4 linked regions of the Struthio camelus genome follow. The protein of the gene in region 3 purifies or fractionates together with the protein of the main gene of each other region. This does not show direct contact. Links are inferred from orthologs where the notes say so. Each region holds a gene or a part of one and is shown on either strand. Other genes may lie near its edges.

Region 1 (7,161 bases), on a different chromosome or scaffold from region 3:
ATCAGACAAGAGAAAAGTAAACTTCAAATACCACTAGACAATTACGTTGTATACTTCCAGTGTAGAAGAACTGTAGAGTACCTTGAAGTTGTAATTGCAGCTTTACAAGAACAACTGCAGCTCTTAAAAAATAAAAATAAAAAAAAAAAAGGAGGGTAAAATGCCTCCCTCTCTCTCTATATATAGAGAGAGAGAGTGCACAGTCTTTCAGTGAGGCTATAGCAGAGTTTTATTTTTGGAGGCAATAAAACTACTGAACAGTACAGCTGCACTCCTACAGAATTCTACATCTCTGCATGACGTTGCCTAAGGCATTGTTCATTGGACAAACAGCTGTTTTACTAAATTGGTTTTCTTGCTTAATTCTTTCTCAAGTATCCCTATGCTATTGCATCATTCCATGAAAAACAAATCACGAACATACTGTGTAAGGTTTGTTGCAACAAAACATTTCTACATTATCCCTTAGGCAGTCCTGCCCTGAATATGCATTTGCAAAGGCTAGTATTCACTGCTTGTTCTAACCAGGTCTAAGATTAAAAGGATTAAGAAAGCTCAACTTTCGGTGGTGGTTCAGAAGCACATGATTAGCAGAGCTGGCATTACAAGTGGTATCGATGAAACTTGCACTTCAGGTATGTGCTGCTCACTTCTGCCCTTTATAGTTATAATATGGTGTCCCTGACTTGTGTATGTGTGCACGCTGATTTGACTGGTTACCTGCCCCCCAACCCTATTGCAACTTTTCCAGAAGCATAAACCTTAACATAACCTTGATCAATAGTTGCTGTTTCATTTAGTTTCCAGTTGGAAACCTTGTTTTCATGTTCTTCTATATGCATGCTGTTTTATTTTGTTTTTTTTTAAAATGCTTCAGAGTCTGCAGTAAAGTTGCCACAGACTCCTATAGAATTAGTCTTTTAAAATGATACAAGCCTGCAGCTTCATTGGTATGACTAAATATAGTTCTATTTTTTTTAAACAGAATTTTGTCATTTACGCTACCTGAAGAGAGATTCACACATTCTTTTCAAACTTAGCAGAAAAACACATATGAGAAAAACTTACTGTACTCCTATTTTCAGCATACATAATATTGGTATGTTATTCACTTTGCTTGGACCAAAAGATGTAAGATATGCATACAGAAACGTAGCTTGATTGATATATAACCTAATGCATTCCTCAATTTTTTAAAAAACAGTTAGCTTTGTTTATCCAGATTCTGGTTTGTTGGCAATTACAGTACATGAAGAAAGTTAAGAATCAGTCTGTTGAAATCTTACACATCTTCACTCATTTCAGCCAGAGTTTCCAGAAAATTTGCACACAAGCAAGTCACCTCAATTTTATACAGTTCTTCCATATATTCATGTTTAAATGCTGCTGTGTATAGGGAAGATCATAGGAATCAGCCTTATGAACATTCCACACCGTAGTAGTATATTGGGCATATTCGCTGTTAGTTAAAACTGGACTGGTTTAGGTGAAACTCATTAATTTATAGATTAAGAAGGTGTCATTCAGTGATTTAATTACCAGAAAGTATTTCAGCCACTGCCATCAATGGCTGCCTAAATTTATGGTGAACTTGCCTTGGCAGTATTAGGGAATATCAAAACGTGTCTTCATTCATTCCCTAAAACAGATGTAGCATGTAATACTCCTTATACACACAATACTCTTATATAAAAGATTTTTATTTCACATTTACTAAAATAATACTAATCCTTCCTGGTAATGGAGTATTTCCTATGTAATAGGATAATAAGTACCAAACCTGTCTTCACTGTAACCATAGCAATGAATGTCCTAAAATTAAAGCAGGCTTCCTACCAGCACACATAAGATTATTTTACAGAGCAAAGAACAGGGTCACAAACAGCAGTGGCCACCTCCAGGTGAAGAACATATGATGGTAATGGCACAATCAGGAAGCTCATTCTGTAAGTAAGTTTTGAAAAACACTGATGATGGTCATAGGATTTTCACCTGTGCTTCACAAAGCTATCTGCATCATCTCAAGAGATATTCGTGATTTATTATTTTTGCTGACAGCAACTGTAAAATTTTACATCATTCAGTATAAAATTCTAAATTTGTATCATCCTCCAGACTAGTCTTCTATGTTTGTTTCCTATACCTTTTCTGTCCTCAGTTGTAGGCCAACAAAAAAACCAAACAACACTTCTCCTACTGAATTAGCTCCTTTTTTTAAAATAAGGAACTATGACATGTAATGAATGATATTAGCAACACCACTTATATAAACAGATGTAACGCACTCACCTTGATCATACAAAATCTGACTTTTAGATACATGGAATTTTTTTTTTGTTTTACTTAACTAGGACAATCTACAAAATAGCCCCAACCTGTTATGAAAGTAGATGGAGAGAAATCCAATTCGAGGCAGAGATATAAATCCAAAGCTCTCTAAATCACAGCAAAATAGGACCATCTCTTCTCAATCCTATCTAATCTTACTAGAACGCTCTCTGCTCTGCACTCATACTGATTTGCAGTTCTAGGACATGAGAACCAATCGGAGAAGACAATGTAGTATTTCAACTTAGAAACTTGGACACCCCCCCTTCAAAAAACTTGTACACAGCTCATAAATATTGCCTATAAATATGCAAAAGCAGCTTCATAAGCATATAAGAATTAAGAAAGTGAAGGAAAAAGTGGAAAAAGTAAACAAAATAGTAAGTCAATCTCTTTGGCAATGGATGTGGTGAATGTTAATTATGAATGTGAATGTAGGTGAATGTGACTATTTGTATGGTCATTTTTGCAAAAAGCAGGTTCTTCTTTTCTTTCATAAGGCTGCAGCCATACTATCTCATTATATATATATAACCTCTTCTGTTAGCCTTATGCATTTGTACGGAATAGGTCCAAGGAGAGATTGTGAGAAGAGATTCAGTGGGCAGCCCTTTTCATTCTCAATCAGCTATGGCTACAGGCTTGGCAGCAGGGACACTGCAATACCCTTACTACCCTGTAATGACAGATACTGAGGCAAGAGCCTAACCATACCAGGTCAGTAAGAATCGAGGTACTTTTTCAGAGCACAAAACAGTCAATTGGAATCTGACCAAATTCTAGTTCAGGCAAAATTACTTTCTGCCTCCCTGAGTTTTTCCTCTGCTGTTCCAAGGAGTACGTTATTTTTTTTTTTTTAAACAACTGAGCATTATTCCAGAGAAAACCATGCTTCAACTGCTCCATTTTAGCAGCACATACAACGGTTTGCTGGGTTGTAAATACTTCAAAGTCCTTTTTTCTTGAAGATTTTCTATCTATTGCATCCAAATTCACCATACATGGTGGATGAGGCTTCTGTCTAGTTCAGTTGACAAAAACAGGCCAGAATTTTAGATTTAGAGAGAGCAGCTCCAGCTGTGACACTAATGCCTCACACTAAGTCACTTGATGGGACTTGCCAGGTATACCATGGGAACAGCAGCACAGGGCAGAAGTATTGAAGATTACACAACAAACGGAAGCTCAACACTCTCACGTGCCTGTACAATCATTATCCTCGCCGTGAATGAGTTCAGAGGGGTACAACAAGAGAGGAACGCAGGAAAGATTTGTTGCTGCGTAACCCCCCACCAAAACGCCCCGCCATACGTGCCCTGCGCTCACCAGTCTGCATTCGCTCAACGGAAGAGCCTGCTGCACTGCACAACTGCTGGATCTGCCACTCAGCGGCTCCTGAGGTGGGCCTTCGTCGTCTGAAAACCGGCTTAGGAAGCCTGCAGCCTACATGCACGTAGATTATGTACGCATGTCTGTGTGTACTGCTACCTATCAATGCGATTCCCAGCCTTCCCTTTCTGGGCCTCCAAGCTGAAGCCCCCAAGACACACAAAAACGCGCCCATCTCACTGATAGGACAGCACCGTCCTCACCCCCTCCTTCTCTGCCCTCTCAGAAGGGCCCAGCGGCCCCACGCTGCCCTCTCGGCCCCCTTTTCCCGCCCTTTCTCCCCCCCAGGGCCCCGCTCCGCACAGCCCTGAGGCGGGCGCGCCGCCATTTTGTGCGCAAACGGCCCCCTCAGGTGGCGCTGTGGATCGCGCGCGGGTGGACGCCTCGCTCCCGCCGCCGCCCCGGCCGCCATTTTGTGGGGGTTGGTCCGCACAGTGGGAGCGGAGCTGGGCGGTTCCTCTCCTGAGGCGGGTTAAAGAGCAGCTGCTGGCTGCGCGACCGAAAAGTAGGCGGCTGATAACCATTCCCTCGACCCCGGGTACCTAATGGCTGGAGTCGCGATAAAGTCGTAAGGGCTGGCGAGGGCTGGCGAGTGTGGCTCCGCAGCTGTGCAGTGAGGGGAAGGTGGCAATATTCAGTCCCCTCTTCCCTCGGCGAGCGGAGCTCTCTGCCTGGGGCAGGGACTGTCTATGCGTGGGGGCGGCTTTGGTCGCAGCAGCGTTAAGAGGAGCAGAAAACGCTCCGGATGTCTCATCCTGAAACTCGCATTAGAAAGAGAAAAAGGGGCCATGCTGAGCGCCCAGGGTCTTGTGCCTCCCCCCGCCCGTGCTCGAAACCACGCCTGGTGCGGGGGAGCCCGTTGCGAGGCCGGTACCGCCCTCTCCTTCTCCCTGCGGCACCGCTTCCTGCTCCGGACCTGGCCCCGCCGCTGTAGACGAGACCTCCCGGGTGCGTTATGCGTCCCCTCCTCCTTCCCCCAGGCAGTCACCCCCCCCCGCGCCCTCAGGACAGGCGCCCCCAACGCGCCCTGCTGCGGGATCGGGCCCTCCTCCCGCTGCGGCCCGCTCCGGCGGAGGGCGGGCCGGGCCGGGCCTGGGCGGGTGCGGCGAGCCGGGGCGCTCCGCGCCAGCGGGGCCTGAGCCCGTCCTTGCTCGTGAGGAGAAACGAAACCCGGCGCTGCCCTTCGGGTGAAACCTTTTCGACCTGCAGCGCGGAGTTTCCTTTCGCTTCATTTTTCAAGTGTGAGTTAAAGTGACGTAGTTAAAATTGGGCGGAAAGCTGTATAAACTCCCTAGGGTAAAGCCAGTTTATTTCAATTTTTGATCAGGACCGGAGTGTTAAACTAGCTCACCTTTAAATGGAAATGAGTGTAGTCACTACTGGTTTACACCAGAGCAAATCATTAGGCCTCATACAATGATGAGGAACGTGGAAGTTACCGTGGGCTTTCCCTGAATGCCTCGTAGCAGATCCTCTTTCTTTACAGGGGTATTTGAAACTTGTATAACACGCCCTGACATATGCAACAGTTTGAAAGACGTCAGATGATACATGCTCAAAATGAGCGCTGACCACCTCTGCATCTTAAAGCAGGGGGAGGGGCCACAACATACAGGTAGTACCTCCTTGTAGCAAGGTAACCCGCTCTCTTTGCCTGGCGTAGGGGCTCCTACTTGGGCTCGTCCTGTGAAACAAAGAGGGCTTTCCAAACAAGAACTACACTTACTGATGATATATCCCGTTTTTGCTGCTGTAGAGATGTTTACTACAGTTGTGAAACGTTCAAGAAACAAATGCTGTCTCAACTGACAGACTGTAATTGGAGATGACTTTTAAAGTGTGAAAGGTTTCCCTGCTTCTCTTGAAAGACTTCTGCTTCTTAATTTGAGGCCTGATAGATGACTTTGTCATAATTAGTACAGGACACTTTTTTGCCTTGCTAATTGAACTGATGTTAGTATGTTGTGCAGCATTTGTTTTGCAAAAAGTAAAATTGCTTGAGCCTTGTACATACACGGGGGGAGTTAACAGAGCCTTACAAGTCTTTGTGAAGTTCTAGGATATTGTTATTTCCCGCACCTTAACAAAAAAAAAAAAAAAAAAGAATCCTGGTCCTTGATTTTGGATGTATTCTGCCTGGATTCTGGGCAGTGAGAAAGTTCAGAAAATAGGAGTATAATTCATTTTATTACTCTCATAGAAGCCAATTAACATACTGATATTTTCTTAGCTCTTTGCCTAGCGTGGAAGGGAAATGACTATTGTGGTCTGAGAAATATACTTGCTAATTTTCTCAGGTATTTTATCTTAATAAATCCTTACTTACAGTGTAATATCCAGGGTCAAAAGTCAGTGCAGACTTAGATAAGCATGCCCTCGACAAGGATGGTTTCCCATTGCAGTAGGTGAGAAATTCATTAAGGAATGTCCATTCAGACTTAAAATCTTCCACTTCCTTAAGGAAAGTTAAAAGCAGTAACTCGTATTTGAGTGTGCTTTTGTAGTAATCCTCTTGAGACATGTTTTCTCTCAATCCTCTTTTGGGGTGACAAGGTGACTGATGAGTCACTCTAGAATCAGTCATTTTTTCAAAGACCTTATGACTATTTTCCACAAGAGCGCTTGCCCTGTGAAAATTTGGTGTGATTGTGAACTGAAATAGCTAGACTTACAGAAAACTGCCTCCTCCCCTGTCCTTCTCCCTCGAGGTGCCTGGGGCTTTCCTGGTTCTTTGATTACAGGAACAAAAAAGTAGTTCTTTGTTCCATGTGTAGGCTTGGCCCCTTCACTCACTCTGCCCCTGATATTACTGAGGCAGCCTTGCAATATCCTCAGATAACAGCGGTGTAGGTTGTTGTGTTACAGTTGTGCTATTTGCAATGATTTTAGATTTTATTTAAATGGAAATAAGTGTAGTGCTTCAGGCACAGCTGATTTTTTTAAGGTACGGAGCACCGTCTCTTTTAAATATCTTCCTGCTCTGTAACTTCTGTGCCGAAATCTTTATGCAGTGGAAGCAACACTGAACGGAACAGAAGAGGAAAGTCTTTAAGTATTTTCTTGCAGCAATATTGGCAAATTACATGCACACATGAACACATAAACTACAGGAACAGCTTTCTCTGCTGACTGTGAACTTGTTTCTTTTCTCCTCAAAAGGTGTGCTGTTTTCCTCTCCCTCCATTTTGTAAAGAATTTACGTTCAGAAGCTCTTCTTGCTGCAGAGCCCAGGTAATCTAAAAATTGAGGGCTAGACTGCTGGGTTATGCATTCTGTCATTGCTTTTCTCTTTTTCTTTAGTTGTCCATGTTTCAGCTATAACTGCACCAATGATGTTTGCAAAAGCTATCGTTATCAGATGGAAGGGTGAAACAAGATGCCCTTCACCTCTCATGGAGAAGTGGGTCTGGCTAAAACGCGTGCAGATGGAATGCATCAGGTTTG
Region 2 (7,593 bases), on a different chromosome or scaffold from region 3:
TCTGGGAGGCCGACAAAGAACTACTCACCCACGTTGGCGATATAGAGCTTGTTGTTGAGAACAACAGCCACAATAGCCATGGCTCCTCCAGAGATCTCCTGCTCTACAACCTTCAATCTCTCCACAATCTTCTGGTACTGAGGAGGCAGCTGGTGGTGAGGGACACCCTGGAACCCAAGACACCGGGGGAAGCTTAAACACACAACCCACAACACAGAAACCACAGCTGGAATCTGAATGCTGCAAGGAGGAGAACTGTCTTTATGCAGTCTTGGCATGAGGCTGTGACAAAGAAACACCCTAACAAATAAATAACATGGCTCTGGTAAGGTTCTGGGGAAGACAGTCCAGCTCACCTGAAGAGCAGAATCCACATCTGCCCAGATGCCATGCAGAGGCCCTGTCTCTTATCTGTGTCATATGGCTTTGTCCTGGAAGAGCCACATGCACAGAGGTGAACTCATCTCCATGATACGTTCAGTTCTCCACCCCTCTTCTGAGACGACCAATGATGAGTCTAAGTAGGGCCAGTATGAACACAGTGGCACCTCTGGGAACTGGACCAAGACGTTTGCTTCATTTCACACAGGCCCCCAGAAAAGAACTAAAGAGTAATAGTTTTCAAGTACACCCTCCCTTGGACCAGACTGAATAGCGTCTCTAAGACTCATCCAGCAATCTGGAGGGAGGGACCTCCCACAATCTCCGCTGTTAAGACTACGTTACCTCTGGTAGCTGAGACTGCAGGCTGGCCTTCTCTGCCAAAGCATCATCAATGGACTCCAGGAAACTCCTTTCTACCACATCAAAAGCCTAAAAGAGGCCATAAGAGAGACTGAGCTCTTATCTAATATCTACAGAGCTTCCAGGCTGCCCACCCCCACCACACCAAAATGGGCTCACCAGAGTGGTTGATCGCTCTACAGATAGTCAAGAATCACTACATCACACCTAAGAACAATTATTTTGGTGCAACTAGTTAACTAGTCTGTAAAAACAAACTGCAACTACCCAAAACAGGGGACAAAAATATAAAAGTTATGTTCAGAGCAATGTCAGAGACCTGCCTGATTTTGTGTGCTGACTGTAAAAAACTTATTATCACTCAAGAAAGTATGCTCACAAATCCATCGCCCCACACATTAAGTATTCTCTTTCACTCATTGTCATCTCCTTCGCAGGCTGACTTGTCCCTTCCCTACACGTCCAGTGAAGACTGGCTGCAGCTTCCCACAGAGCTCTCAGCAGTGTGCTGACTGAGCCAGGGGGACAGATGGGTATGAGGTGGGAGTGAAACAAAGCACTACAGCTGCTCAGGATGAGTGCAGTCTCAGCTATTGGCAGAGACTGCTCCCAGTTCCCTCAGAAACCAGATGCTGCTCCCATGGTGGCAAAAAAAGAGGAGGTGGGTCCTGTGAGAAGCAGGGGCTGTTCTCAGCCAAATCTCATTTACCTGCAGCAGAACCCGGCGCACATCAGCATCACTGTGATCTGCATGTAGCTGGCCCAACAGCAGTTCTGCAGAGAGCCTTTGACCCACAAAGTTGGTGACTCGGTTGCCATCATAGCCATTGAAGACACCATAGAGGTAGCAGTTGTTCTCACTCCTGTCCAGAGAGGGCAGAAGCAAAGAGGTGAGAGAGGTCTGTGACAGAAAGAAGTATACAAAACAAGTTCCTCCAGACAACTCCTGCATGCTCTGGCCCCACCCTCTACCTCCAAGTCCTACTGTGAGGAGCCAACCACCACTCCTACCTGTCCTTGTGTCTGCAACGGTCTGTGTTAACCCACTTACCTGAATTTTAACCAATTATCTTCCAAGGGATGACCCTCTGTCCCCTTGCCATCTGCACTGTAGGAACGGTTTGGAGCTGAGCCTACCCCAGAGAGATGGCAGGATGGTAAGTCATCTGTCCAGCTGGGCTGCTGCTCCTGGGAGACAGGAAGAGGAAAGAGACTATGTAAATGGCAAGCAGCCTGAAGTGAGGATCCAGGTTCAGCATGGGCAACAAGACCATCCCCACCCTCTTCTCAGCCCTTCTCACCTTTGCTAAAAGGGTAGCACACCACCCCAGCCAGCAACTTCATATTCCCTGCCACTGCTGCAGAATTGGATCGCTTACCACTTTCTTTCCCTCTGAAGCTGAGTTCTGGCTGCACCTCCAGCTCTTGCTAATAAGAAACCAGAACTGAAATTTGCACCTGAGTTTTACACTGGATACAGCACAGCACTAGCACTCCGTTTGGTGAACCAGCCTCTCACGCATCTGCGGCATGGGAGTACGGGCAACGCTCTGGCTCCCTGCTGGAGTACATCCACCCAGGAAAAGAGGGCGATAGCCCTGTCGCTGCAGACAATTAGAGAGGCACCCTCAAGGCCACCAGCTCCCTGTCACACACTCCCTGTGCGTACACACACACACACACACACACACACACACACTCTGCCGAGGCCTGCCCTGACCCCTCCAGACCAGGCACGGCCCCCCTCAGCCACCTGCCGCCCCCCACACGCCGATGCCCCGCTGCAGAGCGGCAGGGCACCTCAGGGAACAGACTCTTGAACATGCAGGGTCCTCCCCCCCCCCGTCCCGCCCCAGGCCGGGCCCCTCAGCAGGGACCCGCCGCCCTGAGGCAACGACCCGCCTCCACAAACACCACAGAAGTGCCCTCCCCTCCATTTCCCAGGGAGCAGGCGAGAGGGAGGCCTGGACCCCCCTCACACACACCTAGGGGGGTGCGTGTGCACGGAGGGGGGGAAGATGCCACTCACACTCTGCAGCAGACTCCTCCTCTGCGCCGCCATCTTGGAGCAGGAGCGACCTCCTCCCTCCTCCACCTCCTCCCCCCCTCCACCCACCCCGGCCCTTCTCCTCCAGAGCAGCCGAGTCCGCCGGCAAGAGCGGCGGCGGCGGCGGCCGCTGCCTCCTCTCCTCCCCCCGGCGGCGCGCGCAGCCAACGGCTGCGGCACGCACCGCTTCCGAGGGGGGGCGCCGCAGCCCAGTGGCGCGCGGCCCCGCCCCTTCCCCTGCGGGAGCGATGGGGAGGAGGCGCGGCTCGGGGGCAGGCGCATGCGCGTAACAGTGCCCCCCCCCCCCCCCCCCGCGGCGGGCGGGCGCGCGCGGGGCGGCCGTTGGCCCCGGGTGGGCGCCGGCAGTGGGCGCGGCGGCAGTGCTGCGTCCTGCGCTGCTCCATATTTATACATATTAATATGAATTAATAATTAATATGTTATATATTGGTAATTAATATACTGTTTTTAAATTTCCCTGTCGTCTCCCTTTCCTCTTTTCTCGGGTGAAGGAAGACGCCTCTTGCCTCTTACCTGGAGGCCGTCAGTATTGAGGGAAAGAAGCGCCCTTCTACCATCATTGCAGGCGTGTGTGGAGGAGGGAGGAGAGGCAGATGAAATGGGGCTACCTTGGGTGCCAAATAGCCCTAAGCAAGCCTGGCGGTCAGTTGTGTTGTGTGCAGCTTTTAAGGAAGACCAAGTATGGTTAAAACCAAGATACCAGCTGTCAGCTGCACTCTTGGCCTGTAGATACCACAAGAGGCCTCCGCTTTCCTCAGCTTGCAGTCCCTTTCCTGCCAGGGTGGTCAAGGCCCTTTCCCACCCTCATTTGCAGGCCACAACAAAGAGATGGTGGGACCATACCCTCAGGCCAGCAATGGGAAGGTGTCCAGAGCAGCTCACAGATGCTTCTCATCATCCACCACATGTTGGAGCAATGTCTGGTAGGCTGGAGTCAGATATAACAGCAAAATCACTTGTAGTTTGTCAAAGAGCTGGATCAAAACTGCTGGGACCAGCTGAAACGCCCCTCCGCTGGCATGGAGTGATTCTGCTCTGGTTCACTATTCAGAAAAATGTGTGGGGAGTGCTTTGCAGGGGCAACAGCTCTGTGACTGGCTGCCTTGATTTCCCTGCTCAGCCCTGGCAGCGTGCCTGCCTGGTCCTCTCTGATCTGCGCCACAGGCTTTCCCACCTGGGGCAAGCTGATGCTTTTCCAGCCCTTGTACCCCAGCATCACTTTTCCATATTCTGTCCTATTACAGCACAGAAAGGGCACAGACTTTTCTTTGCACGATTTGCTAAGTCCACTAGCCAACACTTGCAAATTCCTTCTCCGTTTGGATCATGATCTGAATCAGGCCTTTACTAGGTGGGGATTACATTTCCCTCCTCCATGCTCTTCGCTAGACTTGCGGACTAAGGCCTTCCTTTTTTCCCTCCCTGCCACCTTGATTCTCAGCTATCTTGACTGAAAGCTCTCTGCAAGGTGCTGTGCAACTGCAAAGCAGGGCCAGAGGTGAGCTGACCTGGCTGCTGAACTAGTTCATACTGGAGCATATCTACATAGGTGTCATGAATCCACTTGTTACACATCTCTCTGCCTCTCACCTGGGATGTGGAGGACCTGGGGTGGGAATACCTGACATCTGTGTATGTAAAAAGGGTATTGATATTGAGCTCTTAATCTAGACTATATTCAGGGCCGTTTCCTGTCAATAGATTCCCTAAGGAAACTTAGACCAACACATTCACTTTGCTGTTTCTACTTAAGCGATATAGACACAGAGATAACTGAATTTGCTCTTCTTTAAGAACCTATCTTTGCCTTTCTAGGCAGAGGTAGACAGTTTCAGGAAAGACCGTTTCCATTTAACCAGCCCTACTGAATCAGGAGGGAAGAAAGAGGGATCATTCCCATCACTTACTTTCATTGTAAGTCAGCTGAAGAGCCTTCCGGGTGTGTGATTGGCATCTCTCGAAGTGAGCGATGGCGGGCAGACTGGCTGCAGCACCAGGGGTTTCTGGGAAAAGCACATTTCTCTCTGCGAATCAGAACTGAAGGGTCTTCAACATGCTGGATGTGCAGTTTTAGTCAAGTGTAGCAGTGCAGTTGTGGTGAGGGTGGGAGTACTAAGTAGTCTTGACTTCCAGCAGTCACTTGATACTCTTTTACTGACATCTTTGTGGCAAATGTATTATATTCAGATGCACTTTAGAAATAATTGCCAGTTAATTAACCTCATTCTATAGAATTATGGCTTTTGCTGCAGGGACTCCTGCCAGAGGATTCCAGCTCCCTTCCTGTAAATCCTTTGTCTATTGTTTAATTACATCTCTTTCTTCCAAATATACAAAGAGTTCATATCCTTTCCCATTGGGCAAGACGCACACATTTTCAGCTGTTCAAGCAGACTTGGATACACAGGCAGTATTTTAAAGGTTATATTGTCCAAAGATGGAAGAAAATGCTACATCTAAAATCTCAGTGTACAAACAAGTTTCCTCATGTTTAGCTTTATGTACAAGCTTGGTCTGACTGATCTCATTTGAACTATTTGTGGTTGTAAAGCTGTGAGTGGGTATAAGCAATTATAGGAATGGGCCTTGAGTCAGCATTAAAATTAAAATTAGGAATAACAGGTTTAGAACTAACAAAGATTTGTTTTCTTATCCCTATTAAAAGTTCATGGTGCTGCAGAAACCCGTATAGAACAGCACTGTCTTTGTAGTTAACAAGCAACAGACAAGTTATCTGCTTTAAAACACGATGTCACTTTCTTCAGCATTGCAGCAAAAGCTTATGCTTATTTAATGACATTGAAGATTGCAGGCATGCACCTTGATGAGCATGAGCAGACCCTGTCCTTGCACAAAGCACCACTGAAATCAGCAAGTGCTTAGAGACTTTCCAGGGTGTATCGCATTGCGGGACTGGGAATTTAGGAGTCATTTCTGTCTTCTCATATCCATAACTGACTCCTACTGAGACTAAAAAGAGTGGTGGGTGTGTGGGGGTGTGGGTGTGTGTGTGGGTGTGTGTGTGGGTGTGTGAGATGGGGCAGAATTTGTTCCCAGAGAGAGAGGAAAACAACTTTCTGGAAGATAGATAGAGAAGCTGCCATTTTCCTTGTTTGCACGATGGTTAGTCACCTCTTGCAGTTAAAAGCGTGCCCTATTCCTAATTCAAATGGGTCTGACTTCAGTTCTCACTCACTGATTATTGTCCTTCTGGTTTATCTTTTTCCTTCCCCTTTGGGCTGGAACACAGACCTTCTGGTGCAAAACATTTTCACGTGGTGAATATACTTGTGCCAGATTCTACCTCGATATTACTGTGGCTCTGCCACTGAGTCCCAGCCCTAACCTTGAGCAAAGCACTTAGCTACTTCTCTGCAAAACATGAATGATAAGACTTACCCGATAGGGCTGTTTGCAGTGCTAAATGGGTACTTCTCAAGCATTTTGCAGTCTTCTGAAGGAAAATGCTACTGATGCTTGTATGCTGCTTCGTGAATAACTGTTCACAGAGACCAATAGCTGTATGCAGCACTTGCTAAATGAAATATTGCACCAACAGTTTTTTTGGTTATATTGATCAAAGTTACTTTTCCCTTTGTTTTATTTATGCTTCTTATCTTTAGTAAATCCTCTCAGAAATTACTGTGCTGTATGAGACAGCAAAAAGCTCCCCAAGAATGCAGGATATCGGCCATTGAACCTCATCCACACGCAAATAAATTCCTTGTATGAGTCAGTGACTACCGGATCTAGAGTTATCTTAAAGCACAGCTCCCTCTCTCATGTCAGTTTAAAACTCCCATATTTCTCATTCCTCTCTCTCTCTTTCTCTCTCTCTCCCCCTCTGTATTTATTATTTCTCTTTGCTTCTCTGTTCCCAGCGCTAGGGACTATATACACAGCATTTCTGGTGCCAAGTGGTACTACTGCCTTCCTGTTTTTACAAATGATTTCTCTGTAGAAAAGGAAGCATGCTCACTCTGCTGGACCAGTAGATAAAAGATGTTCCCTGTTGAACAGCATGCCCTGGGGGAGCACAATGTCAGTAGGACAGCCCCTGCAAGGTGCTGCTGTAAGTACTCAGAAATTTTACACAATGAGAAGCTATTATAGGATTACCAGCAAAAGCCATCATATCATTTAGTTTCTCTCTGCTGGTCACAAGCGAGATTGGTTTAAGGAGAATTTTTTCTGCCCTGTTTTGCTGATGATGGAGGCTGGGGCTGGGAGGAAAGTCATGATGTTCGGCAAAGCTTGCAGGCGCTGATCTGGAAAAGAGTCACTCAAGCAGAGCCAGCCTGCTGCACTTGCTCTGTTCCTACGGCAGAGCCTTACAGAGACCGATGGTAGAAGGGGCGGCGCTGTAAGCATCACACAGCTCCTCCCAAGCTCTCCTCAACTACCTGTACCAGCTTCGGCCCCCTGCTTCCCACAGGCCCAGATGCCCTAATGCTCCTGGTTCTTCTGTAGGCCACTACTTCCAGGCAGGCTGGAAAGGCAAGGAAATAGAAATGGAGCAATAGAGCAATAGAGGGAACAAGAATTAAGGAAGGAAAGATGGAGATAGAGGAGAGAGCAGCTTCCTTCCTCCAGCACCCTCCAGGCAGATGGAGGGCCAAAGTGGAATAGCTACAGCCAGGAGAAGGGGAATGGTGAGGGAGGACTGATGCCCAAAGATAAGAGAGAGAGAGTAAGCCAATATCTCTGCAAAATTGATTTAGTAAAGAGCTGTGAGCCAGTTCAGTTTTTTTGAAGGAGGGAAATGGAGTTGTTACAGTTGT
Region 3 (7,273 bases):
TATCTGGGGTCTCTCTTTCAAGTATTAGTTCAAAGTCACATATCTATAGTAATTTTTGCATAATAATGGTAATTATGCATCTAGCTAGTAATTACTCAGGACAGAACCACATATTCTGTCCTTATGATCATGCAAATACACTAGATATATATTTCAGAAAGCTAAATCCCTAAAGTTACATTAATGCTATCGATAGCTTGGGGTTACCTGACAGTCATTACTATATAACTTAATGAAAAGCAGCCCTGCCCCAAACTACAGCAACACTCTTCCTATATAAATTGCTAATGCATTTTCCCATCAAGCCATAATTAGTCACCATGAACGCTGAAATGAACTGGATAACATTCAACATAGGAGATTTTCTCACACTGGGGCAAAAAACCCTCCATTGGGCATGTTCTAGTATTAGGATGTTACTAACTTTTCTTTTTTAAAGTAGAAAGTACTCTAAGAACTTTGAACCAAAGATTTGCTTCAAGCCCAAAGGGTTTTTTTAGGATGGACATCACAGGGAAGCAATTTCTGGCACGGTTTTTAAGGAAAGACTGCTTACTTTGGTATATTACTTCACTGATATTACTTGGGAATGTCAGATAATAGAGAAATCAAGGAGGAGAGCTCCAAGGCTCAAGTCCAGTCCAAGTTTACTGCTTTTTATTACGATACATGATTTTTCAAATCTATCCTTAGTAGCTATGATACTTCAGGATAAGCATTATATATCCGTGATATTATATAATGAGTATACTGAGTGAACAGGAATTTTGAAGTTAGTTCAGCCTAACCTCACACAAGCTAAGCATACTTACAGCGTTTAGTTTGTGTTCTATAGGGTCCCCTTCATCTGTACACTTGGTTGATCACTAAGCAAATTATTTTTTAACACGATGTTCTGAACAGCTTTATTAAGTTGGTTTACTTTTAAGAAGTGTCAACATGTACTACAAAAATTTGGAATACTGGCTGCTAGAAGAGGGGAAGATTTGCCCAGTAATACGTTTGGGTGTTCTTTAGAGAAGGATAACAGTGTAACGTGGGTTTGTGGCTTTTCTTTTTAACATCATGGGTTATGTTCCCTCCACTGGCCCCCAAAGGGCCCAGAAACTCCCAAAATTGTGACCTGATCATTAGAGGTCATTTGGGTCTGATCGTCATTCAAAAGTAATTTGCTTCATTTTAACAAATTGTTACTGATCTGATACAGATCTCAGGTAGCCTGCACAATTAAGGGGGACTGCTAAGGGTATTAGCACAGTAATATGAAGAAAGATTATATAGTGATAATGGCTGCACTTGTGGTCTAGTTACACTAGTAATGCAAAGTTTCTTGAGAGTTAATACAGGATGTTCTAATACAAGATATTATCAGAAAAAGTGGACAAGTTTGCAGGCACCAAAACTCTTGGTCACTTCAAGGTATCAATTATGAAGAGAAGAGAATAACAAACAGGAAACAAAACCTGTAGCACTAACACGCGTAAAATGCTGCACACTTGGTGAAGACGTTTCAAAAGATGTCAGTGCATCACAGCTATATCACTGTAACCTTGATGACCCATTCAGTCTAAACCTTTCCCTTCTGCTAGGATTTTTTTTCCACTGCTGCACTTGTTGGCTCAGGGATGAACTTTTCTTTTGGAAACAGCAAAGAAAATATTTGTGTCATCTCAACAGCAAGCCACAGCTGGGATTCTACAGGAATACAAGGACGGACCAAGACAAGGGAGACAAAGATGCCAATTAAAAGGGGCTGAGATTCTTTGGTAGAACCAGAATACGGCAGAGGAAGGCAGAAAGAGGAAAGAACAAGGATTGTGCAGGGGTTTGCACCAGTCATATTTTGTAATAATTAGTTACAATTTAGGATAGAAGCGCTCATAAAAATGCATGTTCTTATATGCGAATTAGAGTAAGCCATTTCAGTAGAGTACCATCTTACACTGGTATGACCCTGTCAGAGGAAGGCACTAGCTGCTACCAAACAGCTTTCTACCAGAAACATGCTCTCAAACTAATTTCCCATCACCCAGATCCCATCACACTGATGCAGAGAAACACTTGAGCAAAATGCCACCTCTGGACCTTACTACCAGGGAGGCTCTGGTTTAACAAGTTATTTCCTAGTGTGAAAACACAGCTTTAGCAAATCCCTTCTTAGCTCAAAAAGCCTTAAAGAGCCTGTCCGGAACGAGGTGGCTATAGCCCAGCGCAGTTCAGGGAACCACCACGAACCAGGGCCCAGTCCCGCAAGGTGCCGAACGCCGCAGCACCAACAGTCAGGGGGAAACGATGCGCCCAGCCCCGAGGCCAGGCCTCTGCCTCAGACGCAGCTTCAGCCTAAGCGCCCCAAACCGCAGCCGAAGCGCACTGAAGCATAGAGCAAACGTCCTGCGAGGCGAGCACGAAATAAACGTGCGGCTTCAGCAGCAGATGCAATTCTGAGAAACCCTAACGGGAGCCTTCTCGAGCCTAGTTCCTTGTCGGCCAGCTTGACATCTCCTCCTCCTTCTCCTCCTCGCAGCTTCCTGTAAGGCGGCCGCGCTCAGGCCTCCCCGCCTCGCACGCACCGCTTCCCCGGGGCTTTCCCCGCCGCCCGCTTCCCCGGGCTCCGCTCTGCCCCGCGGGCCCCGACGGCGAAAACCCTCTGCTCGACGCGGCCGCCGCAGCGAGCGGGCGGGCGGCCGGGCGGGGGCCCCGCGGGGCCGCTCTCCCCACCGCGGGCAGCAGGTGGCCGCGGCCCGCGGCAGCAGCCCCCACTCCCTCCCCCGCCGCCGCCTCTGCAACTGGGAGCCCGCGCGGGACTTCCGGTTTCGGCGGCCGGTTCCCCCGGGCCGAGCCGGGCCGAGCCGGGCCGAGCCGGGCCGGCCGGGGCTCCCTCCCGCCCCGCGGGGCGGCCTTACCTCCCCGCGCCCTGCGCGGCCGCTCGCCGCGCCGCCGCCTTCCGCCAGCGGGCCGAGGGGCGCGGCGGCGGGCAGCGCCTGTGCGCGGCGGCGTGCGCGCCTTCCCGCCCCCTGCGGCCGGCCGGCCCCGCGCTGCCGCCGGCAGGAGGTTTGGGCCGCTTGGCCTGCCGCTGCCGCCGCCTCGGCGCTCGCCCAGCCCAGCCCGGCCGGGCTGCGCCTGCTCGGAAGCGGAGGGCGCGCCGCCCGCCGGGCCGCCGCCGCCGCCGCCCGCGAAGCCGCCGCGCGCCCGCTGGCCCGGGAGCGTGCGGAATGAGCCCGCCCGGGCTGGGAAAGCGCGTGTGCCACCCGCGCCCCGCTCCGCCCTCGCCGCGCAGCCGGCGCCCCGGGGAGAAGCACGGACCCGAAGTACTGTACTGCCCGCGTCTGGGCACACGGCTACCAGATAACCTGTCGGAGTTACCGCGGCTGACAGCCGTTGCGGGAGGGCCTGCAGTTGGTGCATGGCGGGACTGCAGCTCTTTGGTGTGGTTTTAGGGCCTACGAGGCAGTTTCTTGTTCAGGAAGATGGAGGCAGGAGCTTCTGCTCGCTAAGAGAGTACTCATAGTAGGTAACAGTCCTGCGGAAGCAGGTGGAGGAAAGGTGTAACCTAAAAGGACCTCTGTAAACCATCTAGTCCATCCTCTTGCTCTGCAGAGGTGTCTAGACCATCTTTGACAAATTTCATGTAGTTTGTCGTAATTCTACCGGTAAAAGAGATTCCATAACTTCCGACCTGTTCCATTACTTTCATTAGGAAAAGTGTTCTAATATAAAAACAATGGCTCGTTACAGCTTCTTTACATAAAAGTCATTCTTAACTGTTTCTCCAGTGAAACAATTGGAAATGATGAATGACTATCTGCTTTGTAATGACCTTTTCCATTCTGGGGAACTGCTATGCTCTTCACAAAGCCCTGTAGATGCTGTGGTGTTCACAGATCAGTGCCACCAGATACCACTGAAGCAGCAGCAGATTCATGTGGGCCGGCGAGAGCAGCCCACAATTTGCACATAAAGAAAGAAGCCTTTCTAAAGCTGAATGGCAAGCTTGCTCAGGCCCTTGACTTTCAAAGGAGAGTGATGAGAGAAGACAGTCTAGAAATCTGTTTCAGTTTCCTGATGGAAATTGAGGCCCTAGATTCTTGTAGATCTGGAAGAAGCGCAGTGGTGATGGAGAGTTTTAATTTCATGCGAGGCCCCACAGTGGATTTCATGGATAGGGTTCCTCAACCATGGAGGGCATTCAAGGCTGTTTGTACCACCACTTAAAGCCAACAAAACATTAACAAAAAAGAACCATACTCCATTTAGTACTTATGAAGCCTTTTAGGTTCGCAACGTGCACTGGTATGTAATGCTGGCATATTCTGGAGCTCTGGCCTTTTCCAAATGTAGAACTAGTCCTTTGTTTCCCCGTGTCAGTCATCAATGCATTACTGGAATTCCCAGACAACCCATTTATCCATATACTTGCCTTTTTTAAACGAAGGCATAGTCTGATTTATGCCTTCTGCTAGCCAGCACATTTATCTGGAAGGGGCAGGTGACATGTAACTTTCAATTTTCTGAAAGGCATCTCTTTTGAAAGATAAATGGGAAACACTTGGCACGGGCCGGGCGATACAGTTTTGGAGAGGCAGAACAGCCTTGGAGATAACATAAGCAGTTTCCTCCCTGAGTCTCAAGGCGGTTTTCTACACCTTGCAGTACAAACCAAACAAATGGCTTGTTTCCACTGCACATAATGCTGAGTGCAGTCATTTCCACTCTAAAAAAACCTACGGCAGTGGAATTGGCATGTGTCTAGGGCATGCCTTTGTTTTCAACGGATTCTGGATCAACCGGTGTAGAGTCAGACCAGCTGGCCAATGCTCTGATAGCATTCAAGGCAAGGCCTCATGAGGCTTACTGTAATTAAAAGGCTCAAGACAGCTATGCTGAACTGACAGACAAGGTAGTTTGAACACACATTTCATGGCCATCCATGCTGCAAGATATCTTAAGGAAAGTGTTACTAAGCCTATCGTCCATAGAAACTGGGACGTTCGTGAACTCTAATTGTCCCAAGGCAACTGAGGAAAGCAAATGTGGCATCTCTCATAACTATGGGTAGGTCGTGCAGTTTTTTTCTTCTGTTGCCATCCCGAACATTACAGAAACCTTTTAATGCTCTTTTGCTTCTCTTCTCTGGGCTTTGCATTAGGTATGTGGCTGAAGAGAGAAAGTAAGATGGCCACATTTACACAGAATTGTGTGGTTAAAAACATCTCAGTCATTCAGTGATTTACCAACAAGTACTAGGAAAAAAGACAAACATTTGTTTGTTCGTGGTCAGAGGTCAGTGTTGCCAGTTATGACATTCCTTCTTGAAATGAATAAGGAAAATAAATTGGTCCAAAAATGCAATCTGAAGTCACAGAGAAATCTCTTTAATTCTGATAAAGAAGAACGGAAGAATATCCTGAACTGGAGATAAGGTCATTCATTACAGTTCTAATGCTTTTCACAATAATGCATTTCTGTGAGCAGTTTTCAATTTTAGTATCAACTAAGATAAAATAACCCCATTACTTCTTTTTTTTCCCTTTAACTGATACTTTCACTAATTTTGACCAAACTCTCATTTACTTTGTACCAAAAGTCTCAACCATCTTATCAAAATAGAAAAAATATAAGCACGTAGAATTCCAATTGCACTTTGTTTGCATGTAGCTGTTTTTATTGTCAGTTGGATAAAAACTGCTGTTGCCAACTGCATTTGTGAAATTTTCAGATTCTGTTGCATCACCAGAAGGTGATGTAGGTGTTCCTAAATCAAACAGTATTGAAACTCCGCAGCACTAGACGAAGGCTACCTGGAAAACTTACCTGTTTTATTTATCGTAACCAATAAAATCACAAAAAGCTTATGCCCTAATGGGAAAGTGACTTAATACGGAGATATTTTCCTGGTGTTTGAAGACTGCATCACAGTTTTGCTACAGAGCTTTTAAGTTCTCCACTCCTTTCCTTCCACCCATAAAGTCCCACTCCAGTTAATTGCTAGATTTTTGTTCACATTTTTAAATGTTAAAAAGTCTGATTTTTGTTTATGTTTTGTTTACAGTTTTGCCACCTCCCTGTTTCCCATGAACTGCAAGCTCTGTGCGGACCTACACTGTGGTGGGAATGAGCGTGATGGCACTGTGTTTGTCCACAGCTAAAGACACAGCTGAGACCTCAAGAGATGAGTGTGTCCTCACACAGGAAGTTTCCAGTTCCAGAGATGAGTCAATGCTGAAACGTTAATTCTGGGCTCAGCATCCTACCCAGAGCACTGTAGAAGTAGAGGATCACTGGGAAAACCCTAAGCGGATATTTGTTCATAATCTTTCCGTAATCTATGTATTAACCTGAAGCTAAAGCACTAGCTGGTCTGCTTGATCCCACTACTGTCTGACAGCTGTACAGATGATTTTGCAAGGAGAAGCCATGGTTTTAGCTAGTTTTGCCCAACAGTACAACAGAACTTCTATTGCATTTCACTGAAACCACAGAGGGCTGAAGTGGAAGAAACTGCAGCAGTGTGCAACCAGCACTGCTGCACAGGAGCATGCGGAAAAGTGCCGAATCCTCTTGGGGAACCTGAGTGTGGGACAAGCTGCGCAAAGGGACTTGGGAACCACCCTTGTGATAGATGCAATTTTTCATTGTAGCTAAGTTCAGAAGATCTTCTGAAGTCTTGCCTTGACATTGGGGTGTGGCTGTCACAGTGGTGGTTACTTTATAGTTATTTTTTGGCTTTAAAATATCTATTAACATAATAGGATTTCTTTTTTGAAAAATAATATATGAATTATGGATGATATTTATCCCCTGGCTGTTCTTCTCTTCAGCATGACCTTTTGATAATTTGCGTGTTGCAAAGTATATTTGTCTGCAAGCAGGTGGCTAACTTCAATGAGATTGTTCCAGGAATCAAATGTTCACAGAATCACAGAATGGTTGAGGTTGGAAGGGACCTCTGGAGATCATCTAGTCCAACCCCCCCCTCCCCACCCTACTCAAGCAGGGTCCTCTAGAGCATATTTTCCAGGATCGCATCCAGGCAGGTTTTGAATATCTCCAGGGAAGGAGACTCCACAACCTCTCTGTGCAACCTGTTCCAATGCTCTGTCACCCTCACAGGAAATAAGTTTTTTCTCAGGTTCAGATAGAACTTCCTGTGCTTCAGTTTATGCCCGTTGCCTCTTGTCCTGTCACTGGGCACCACAGAGAAGAGACTGGCCTCATCCTCTCGACACCCTCCCTTCAGATACTTGTACACACTGATGAGATCGCCTCTCAGTCT
Region 4 (7,249 bases), on a different chromosome or scaffold from region 3:
GGCTGGACCTCAGCACTCTGTGCCATCTCATCAGCTGCTTCTCCAGACAATGCGCTGAAGAAGCATGGATGGAAAAAGCATATTACAGTCTCTAGAGCAAAGGTTTGTTTCCTTATGGTGCTCTCTGAAGCCCTGGTCGTACGTACTTTTAAGTACTGCACAAGGAATAGGTCCTTGTTGCTCACGGGCTCATCTCAGAGTCAGGGACAGTCTCTGCCTTGAAGAACTGGCCAGATGAACCTGTGAGTAGAAAAAAGGGCAGTGTTCAGAAATAGTGAGGCAGGGAGCTTGGGAGACTCCTCGAAAGGTTTGTAGATAAATATTTTTGCATCTACTTGGTACTTGCATATCCCGAGGCTTGTCTGAAACGTGCTCCACACATTATCCCAAGTCTATTATTAGGCAAACAGCAAGTCCTTCACGTTCGTTATATGTCAACTAAACTGTTTTAAAATAATTGCTAAACTAATACTATATTTAGGTAAATCCAAGTGTCCAGCTGGTTCATATCAACAGTCCATCTCCACCAGTGGCCTCTGTTGGGCAGGGGCTGATTGCAGGGGCCTCACAGCATCCTTGTAATGAGCAGTTAAGGAATAAAGCCCCGCTTAGAGGAAGCCTCCTGCCGATTACAGGCTCCGCGTCTTTTCAAATCGCTCGTACCCTGCCAGGAAGGTTTGTATTCCTTTCGCGTCCACTTTCAAGCTGTCTAATGTAATTGTGGACATACGCGTTATGGTCATATGCATCTAATCCCTGAACCCAGCTAAGCCTTTGCACTCACCAAAGCCAGCTGAACGGAGTTAAATTAGCCAGCAGCACTTGTCCGTAGAGCGAGGGAGGTCTGGGCCTCCGGCAGGTCTGTGGCAGGCAGGCGAGAAGTTGCTGAAGATGCACTGGCAGCGACTGATCCGTTTGAAAAAATCTTTCTCTATTTAAAGGAAAGCCAGAAAAAAATGTGTTTAAAAATAGCTCTCAACAACCAAACTTCTGGGGAAAGTTTGTAATTTCAAATTGTTTTTCTATCTCATAAAAATCCTCTAATTGCTTAATGAATGAGCTCAAGCTGAGCCTGAGGAAGTTGTTGTCTTTCTATGAAAACTTCTGATTCAGTGAAACATCTAAGGAAGGAAAGGAAGGGAAAAAAAAAAAAGAAAAAAGGAAGTCCAGGCATTCAAAAACAGTAGAGGAGACCTTTGACACTTATTTATGTTCTACCCCTCTGTGAGTCAGCAAAACCTCCCACTACTCCCCTAACTCTCTGCTCCCTCTCGCTGGGCATCTTGCTCCAGAGCCTGCAGCTTTGAGCTTGCTCTCTTGCACGACGAGCTCTTAAAAACCGGTGGGGAGCCGAGCAGGGCCCCGAGGCCGATCTCTCCCCCCTTCTGCCCTCCGACCCTCAGTAACGCTTCCACCTTCGCCCCCTCCGCTCTTCTGTGCCGCCTGCTCTTGCAGCCCTCCTCCCCGAGGCGCGAGCCGGGGCCAGCGCTGCGAAGGGACCAGCCTACCTCCGGCAGGGCCCGGCCGCCGCCGCGGCGATCCGAGCGGCTCGGCGGAGGCCGCGGGAGCTGCCCCGGCTCCCCCGGCGCGGGGCGGGGGGGGGGGGGGGGGGGGGATGCGGCGGCGGCGCCCGGGCAGCGTTTCCCAGGCGGGCCGGGGGCAGGTGGAAACGCGGCGCTCTCGGTTTCGCCGGGGCCGCGGGGAGCCGCCTGCTCCCCGACGGGCCCTGATGTCACACGAGGAAGCGGCGGCGCCCGGGAGCGCCGGGGCGGAGCGGTGGAGCGGGGCAGGGGCAGCCCGGAGCGGCGGGAAGCAGCGGGGGCGCCGGGGGGCAGGGGCAGCCCGGTGGCACCGGGGCGGAGCGGGGCAGGGGCAGCCCGGTGCGGAGCGGGACTCCCCCGGCCGGCCCGGAGGCAGCACTCGGTACCCGAGGCAGGTGGGTCTCGGCGCGGCTGAGCGGAAGGAGCCCCCCCGCCCCACCATGAGGTCGGTTATTAGCGGCCCGGGGCGCTAGCCCGGCCCTCTGCCGGTACTTACCCTCCTCTGAAGGTAGCACCGAGCAGCTGAGAGCAGACCCTGAACACGAACCTTTTTTGTCTAGCGAAAGTTTTGGTTTTGTTTCCTCAAAGCATGGGGGTTTGGCAGCAGTAGGAGGACAGAAAGATGGTTAAGGCAAGTCGGGTGGAGGTTGGAGCTGGAGACTGATGCAAGTAGGGCTGATGCTGGGAGTGGGGTGGGCAGAGCTGAAGCCCAGGGGTACAGGCAGAAGCTTCCAGGAGGCAGGACAGTCGAAATACTTTTCTACTAAAGACTGAGGCAGAGCTTGGGTCCAGCTCAGAGTGTTTAGTTCTAGCAAAGGGGAGAAAAGCCAGAGGGGAAAAGAGCAATTAGGAGATGAACTGCCTAGAAAAGTAATTCTTTAAAATGCTTCCTACAGGCTCAGGTTAAGGGGAGAAGATGATGCTATTGCTTGCTCATCAGAGCTGCTGCAGCCTTAGATACATGAGAGAAAGATATTCATGTGAAAACAGTCCAAATTTTATTTTGAAATCTGTTTGCCTTTTTCCATTTCTCCAGCATTAGCACTATTCACATACCAGGACATGGGCTACCTAAATAAGTTAGGCTAAGAATAATTACAAAAACATTATTTAGTGGGAAGAAAACAGGACCCATCACCCCTATTTTAATGACAAGATATCCCATAACCATGGTAGAGAACTCCTGGGAAAAGCTGCCTCATAAACCAGCTTCTTAATGGCTGCAAAACGTTTCATGCATGGAGTTACTTAAACACAAACAGACGGTCCTTAAAGTCACTTACATGGATTAAGAAAGTAATCTCACTGAAAGTTGGCATGCTCAAAAGAAAAATCCCACCTTGTAAGTGTTTCTCTGAAGGAAAAGTGTTTGGCTGCTCTGTAAAGAGAGGTCTCCTTTGGGAAGGACCCTCTTGCCCCCAGCTGTTCCTGGTCTGCTGCATGTCTCAGCCTCACAGGAAGTGGCACAGTCAGGAAGGAAGTAGTGTCTGTAATGCTGAGTTCTAAACTTGTAGCAGGAGGGAACAGTATCAAAGAGGCCAAGTGCATCATCCTCTTAAGATGCAGCTTGGATTAATTAAAAAAAAGCTCCAACATTAAAAATAAGTTTCAAGACCATTTCTTCTCTCCTACAACTCCTCTCAGCAAGAACTAGCCATTCACAGCTGTGCTGACTTATTTAAAAAGCCAAAATACAGGTCCCCATCTTCCCTTTCAATGCAGCATGCTTTAGTAAAAGGTATGCAACCTTTATGCCAGAATCAGCCCACCTTGGTTATCAAGTCACCTTGCAAACTACATCTTCTGTAAGCTCAGCTACATACCTCCAAAGCCTGGGATAGTGTCAGAGCAGGAGGCATTCCTGTAAGATTGGCAGCTGGGCACATGATTAAAAGAAGTTCTAGCCAAGGGGTTTGGGTTAGAAGAACCGGGATTTTTCAGAGCTCCTCCTCTGGTGCATTAGTTACTATCTCCTCTGCAGGTTTTGTCACCTCTCCTGTGCATTTCTCTACCTTCTCCTCCAACCTGTCTAGCACTTTAGACCCTTCCCCCAGGATCCTGTTTGCCCCCTTTGATTCCTTGGGGGCTTCAGCTACCTCCTTTGGTGACATACCCTTTTCCAAAGCAGGTGATTTCATATCAGTCATCATACTGCATTTCTTCTCCTTTCTGCTGTCTTGTGATACTTTGGCTGATGCCCTGAAAGGGCCCACAAGCCAGTTTAGAGGGGCGTTGAGAGTTACATATTCTAGCAAGTCATCTAGGGATCTTTGGGCTTCCCTCACACAGTCCTGGCTCTGGGTCAAGGTGCTGCCAGAGAGGTCCTGGAAGGACTTAGCACTGGAAAAAGAAGTGTGGAGCTTCTGGATGCTTTGAGTGGCTTGATGTACAGTTTCTTGGATGTTGCTGGGGAGGCCTTGAATGCTGGCTTTCAGATTCTCATATGCAGGTTGTAGCTGCTGGGTGATGATATGCAGCATAGCTAGGGTCCGTGACTCTACCTGCTAGGAAAGAATACAGCTCAGTTACTGTAGCAGATGAGATGCCCGCTATCCACAAAAGGTCTGATTACACCCTTCTAGGGATACCTCTGGTTGGGAGGCAGTTTTAATTTGGTGTCCCTTGGGTTGGGTCAGGCTCCAGTCTAGCCATAGCTGATGGAGCTTCTCCTGCCCGTCCAGAAGCTTCTGGCCAACCTCGTCTTTCACACGCTCTATCTGATGGAAAGAGATGAGGAACAGTTACATTGCAAGCACATACAAAGCAGCACAAGCGCTCCTGTCTGCTAAGCACTGGAGTCATGTTATAAAGAAGCAGCTTCCAGAATCACATTCTGCAGTGTTACCTGTCAGGGAGGGACTCAAAGGGACATGCAGCAGAAAACATACCTTAGGTGCAGAATGGAGGAAGCACCTCCATCTGGGTGCTAGCAGGGGGAAAGAAGACTCTGCGGAGTGGGATAGAAAAGAAAAAGGGTGTTTGTACCAGGTTTATTGCTAGTTGCAGCTGGGAGAGAGTATCCCGCGTGCTTTGCTTAACACGCTGCAGTTTGTTCAGGGAGTGCCGGTAGGCTCGGAGGCGGACTTTGTTAGAGAGGGAGCCCAGACGCACAAAGTAACTCCGCTGCTGTTTCTGCTCCTCCACAGAGGCCATATCAAATCCCTCAACAGCAGTGGCAAGTTGACCTAGAGGGTACAGAGATCCAGCTGTCAACAGATGTCTCTTCTCTACCCTGTGCCCCATCCCCTTTGGCCCTGGAGCCATCAGGGCAAAGCCCAGCTGCCTCTACCCTCACTCCTTTGTCTCCATGCTCTGCTCTCCCAGCTGTGAGGGGGAAAAGGTAAGATTTGCCCATTGTGAAACATGGGAGGAAGCTAAATCTCGCTGTATAAGTGGTAGGGGTTGGCAGTTGTTCAGAGATTACAACTAGGCCAGTCCCAGCTTGAAGGGCTCTCTTCAGATAAGCAGACTTGACAAATAGGTTGAAGCATGTACCCAGTTGTTGTTTGCCTTGAGGCTGATAGGCAAACCAAGGAGTAGCTAGCACGTGCTTGAACTCTGTCCTATACCACGTAGCACGTCAGTGGTGACAGAAAGCCAACTGGGTGATATTCAGAGCTACCTATCTGCTTCAAAAGATGACTCCTGCAGTGTCAGGTGCTCTCTAATCATGTGGAAAGTGATTTGCAGTTACAGCTACCAGCTAAGCATTTTCTTACCCAGCTCCTCCTCTGTCATGGGGAGGTAGTGATCCACCAGATCTTCTGATATATCCAGGACAGATTCCACACCACCTGCCACTGCTTGGCCCATTGCCTTGGCTTTACTTATGCTGTTGGTCACCATGAAATTAGTGAGCTCCACCCCCTCCTGGATAGCCTCTCTGCTGTGCTCCAGGGCTGTATTCATTTTGCTAGTTATGGTGCCATATGCAGCATCCAGAGCTGTATTGACTGTAGAAGTGACCATTGATTTAGTCTTCTCAACACCATCCTGAACAGCCTCTTTGGTTAGGTCTACTGCTTCAGTCACTTTGTTGGTTACGAGATCCTTTGCACCCTGGGCAGCCCCTACAGCCGCAGTAACAGTAGAAGCGACTGCGGCCTTTGTTAGTCCAACGCTGTCCTCCACAATGTTTTTAGTGAGGTCCACTGCTTCAGTCACCTTGTTAGTCACAAGATCCTTCGCACCCTGAGCGGCCTCCACAGCACTGACGATAGTAGAAGCAGCTGCTGACCTGGTCAGTCCAATGCTGTCCTCCACAATGTGTTTACTGAGGTCCACTGCCTCAGTCACCCTGTTAGTCACGAGCTCCTTTGCACCCTGAGCAGCCTCCATAGCACTGGTGACAGTGGAGGTGACCATTGACCTGGTCAGTTTAACACTGTCCCCAACAACATTTTTAGTGAGGTCCACCGCTTCAGTCACTTTATCAGCCATTGCTTCTTTTGCCTCACAGGCAGCATCCATAGCAGATGTCACTTTGGCAGAAACCAGCTGCTTGGTGTCTGAGATGACCTACAACAAGGTGAGGCAGAGAAAGATGATGCATTTTTCCAGAATAGGTTTCCCTCCCTCAGGGAGCTTTTCACATGGCTATGCTGTGCCTGCACTCTTGTGGGAAAGGTGAGGAAATCAGTACATCTGTATTCACATGGAAATCTATTTCCACACGCTGAAGGCAGAGCCTCGGCTTTCATCAGCTAGCAATGCCTTCTCTAGCTCAGGCAGCTGTAGCCCATATCCAGGAACTGACCTGACAAAGCAGCACTGCCCAAGTTAGTTTCCCCATATACTTCTGTACCCATAACAGTTATATCAAGCAAGAAGAGTGAGCCATGGCTTCCCTGGAAAAAGCCTTTGCTTTACCTTATCTGCTGGCTGTTGAAGAAAAGGCAAGTTCTCCTCCAGCTGATCCAGTCCCTTGCAGGCATATTCATTTACAAGTGCAACTAGACAGAAGGACAGGTACCAGGTTAGTCCCTCTACTCGAGTTTGGAGGCTTTTTTGATCCTACAATGGCCAATCCAGGATGAGCTCATGAGAGCAAATAAAGTAGATCATTGTTTGGGGTACGGGTGGTGGTCAGGGTCTCGCTAAATAGTCTCTTCGTTTTGCCTTCCCAGCCTTCTAGCAATTGAGAGCACATCGCTCCAGCCAGAGCGTGGTACTTGTTTCCAGTGGATAGGGAAGCGGATTAATGGCTTTTTACTGTCTTGGGATGAGACAAACTGAGCAAAAGGCAGAATAAACACTGATACTACCTGATGGGATATTCACAACTTGAAGCGATAGAGGCAGAGCAGGGAGCTTTTGCCTCTCCACTTAAAGAAGCCACAGATGAGGTCAAACTTGGCTTCTGCTAGTGACAATCCCTTATCCATCAAATTCAGTGGGCCTATGGAGTGGCTGGGAGCAGTGGAGGAGTCAGCAATACTACAAGTGTTGTAGGATGTGCTGTAGGAGATGTTACCCAGAAGGGGCATCACTTGCACCTTAACGAAGCAGGGGTATCATCTAAGCTCATGGTGGTTATCTAGGCTTTGTCACATAAGCCAAAATAATGTGGGAATGACTTTGCAAGAGACATGGTTTTAAGAGGAGACTTCTAATGTCATTTAGAGGTAGTTTACTTGTTGAAGACTACATATGGCTAAGAGAAAAAAGTTGATTTTTTTCCTCTTCCTTCTTTCATGAGGAGTGAGAAG

What was found.
Region 1: the proteins of RIPK1 (region 3) and CFLAR purify together in Homo sapiens (affinity purification with western blotting; 5 studies listed by BioGRID and IntAct, with this or other methods). This does not show direct contact. The link is inferred for Struthio camelus from reciprocal best matches to the Homo sapiens genes RIPK1 and CFLAR.
Region 2: the proteins of RIPK1 (region 3) and TAB1 purify together in Homo sapiens (affinity purification with mass spectrometry; 3 studies listed by BioGRID and IntAct, with this or other methods). This does not show direct contact. The link is inferred for Struthio camelus from reciprocal best matches to the Homo sapiens genes RIPK1 and TAB1.
Region 4: the proteins of RIPK1 (region 3) and TICAM1 purify together in Homo sapiens (affinity purification with western blotting; 4 studies listed by BioGRID). This does not show direct contact. The link is inferred for Struthio camelus from reciprocal best matches to the Homo sapiens genes RIPK1 and TICAM1.

What each region holds. Positions count from the first base shown.
Region 1 is NC_090947.1:10,403,046-10,410,206, reverse strand, and holds the start of CFLAR (CASP8 and FADD-like apoptosis regulator), read left to right. Parts: upstream 1-4,158; 5' UTR 4,159-4,665; intron 4,666-4,829; exon of another isoform or gene 4,830-4,958; intron 4,959-6,186; exon of another isoform or gene 6,187-6,661; intron 6,662-6,876; 5' UTR 6,877-6,948; intron 6,949-6,969; exon of another isoform or gene 6,970-7,156; intron 7,157-7,161. UniProt on the Homo sapiens protein: Apoptosis regulator protein which may function as a crucial link between cell survival and cell death pathways in mammalian cells. Acts as an inhibitor of TNFRSF6 mediated apoptosis.
Region 2 is NC_090942.1:57,995,355-58,002,947, forward strand, and holds the start of TAB1 (TGF-beta-activated kinase 1 and MAP3K7-binding protein 1), read right to left. Parts: upstream 3,013-7,593; 5' UTR 2,807-3,012; coding exon 2,774-2,806; intron 1,933-2,773; coding exon 1,796-1,932; intron 1,608-1,795; coding exon 1,454-1,607; intron 814-1,453; coding exon 727-813; intron 168-726; coding exon 29-167; intron 1-28. UniProt on the Homo sapiens protein: Key adapter protein that plays an essential role in JNK and NF-kappa-B activation and proinflammatory cytokines production in response to stimulation with TLRs and cytokines.
Region 3 is NC_090943.1:104,667,365-104,674,637, forward strand, and holds the start of RIPK1 (receptor-interacting serine/threonine-protein kinase 1), read right to left. Parts: upstream 3,015-7,273; 5' UTR 2,904-3,014; intron 798-2,903; exon of another isoform or gene 1-797. UniProt on the Homo sapiens protein: Serine-threonine kinase which is a key regulator of TNF-mediated apoptosis, necroptosis and inflammatory pathways.
Region 4 is NC_090967.1:4,658,299-4,665,547, forward strand, and holds the start of TICAM1 (TIR domain-containing adapter molecule 1), read right to left. Parts: upstream 3,007-7,249; 5' UTR 2,881-3,006; exon of another isoform or gene 2,518-2,880; intron 2,350-2,517; 5' UTR 2,038-2,349; intron 1,937-2,037; exon of another isoform or gene 1,791-1,936; intron 1,593-1,790; exon of another isoform or gene 1,509-1,592; intron 932-1,508; 5' UTR 785-931; intron 241-784; 5' UTR 27-240; coding exon 1-26. Other genes in the region: perilipin-3, read right to left, coding at 3,479-4,045, 4,130-4,258, 4,527-4,726, 5,261-6,059, 6,411-6,493.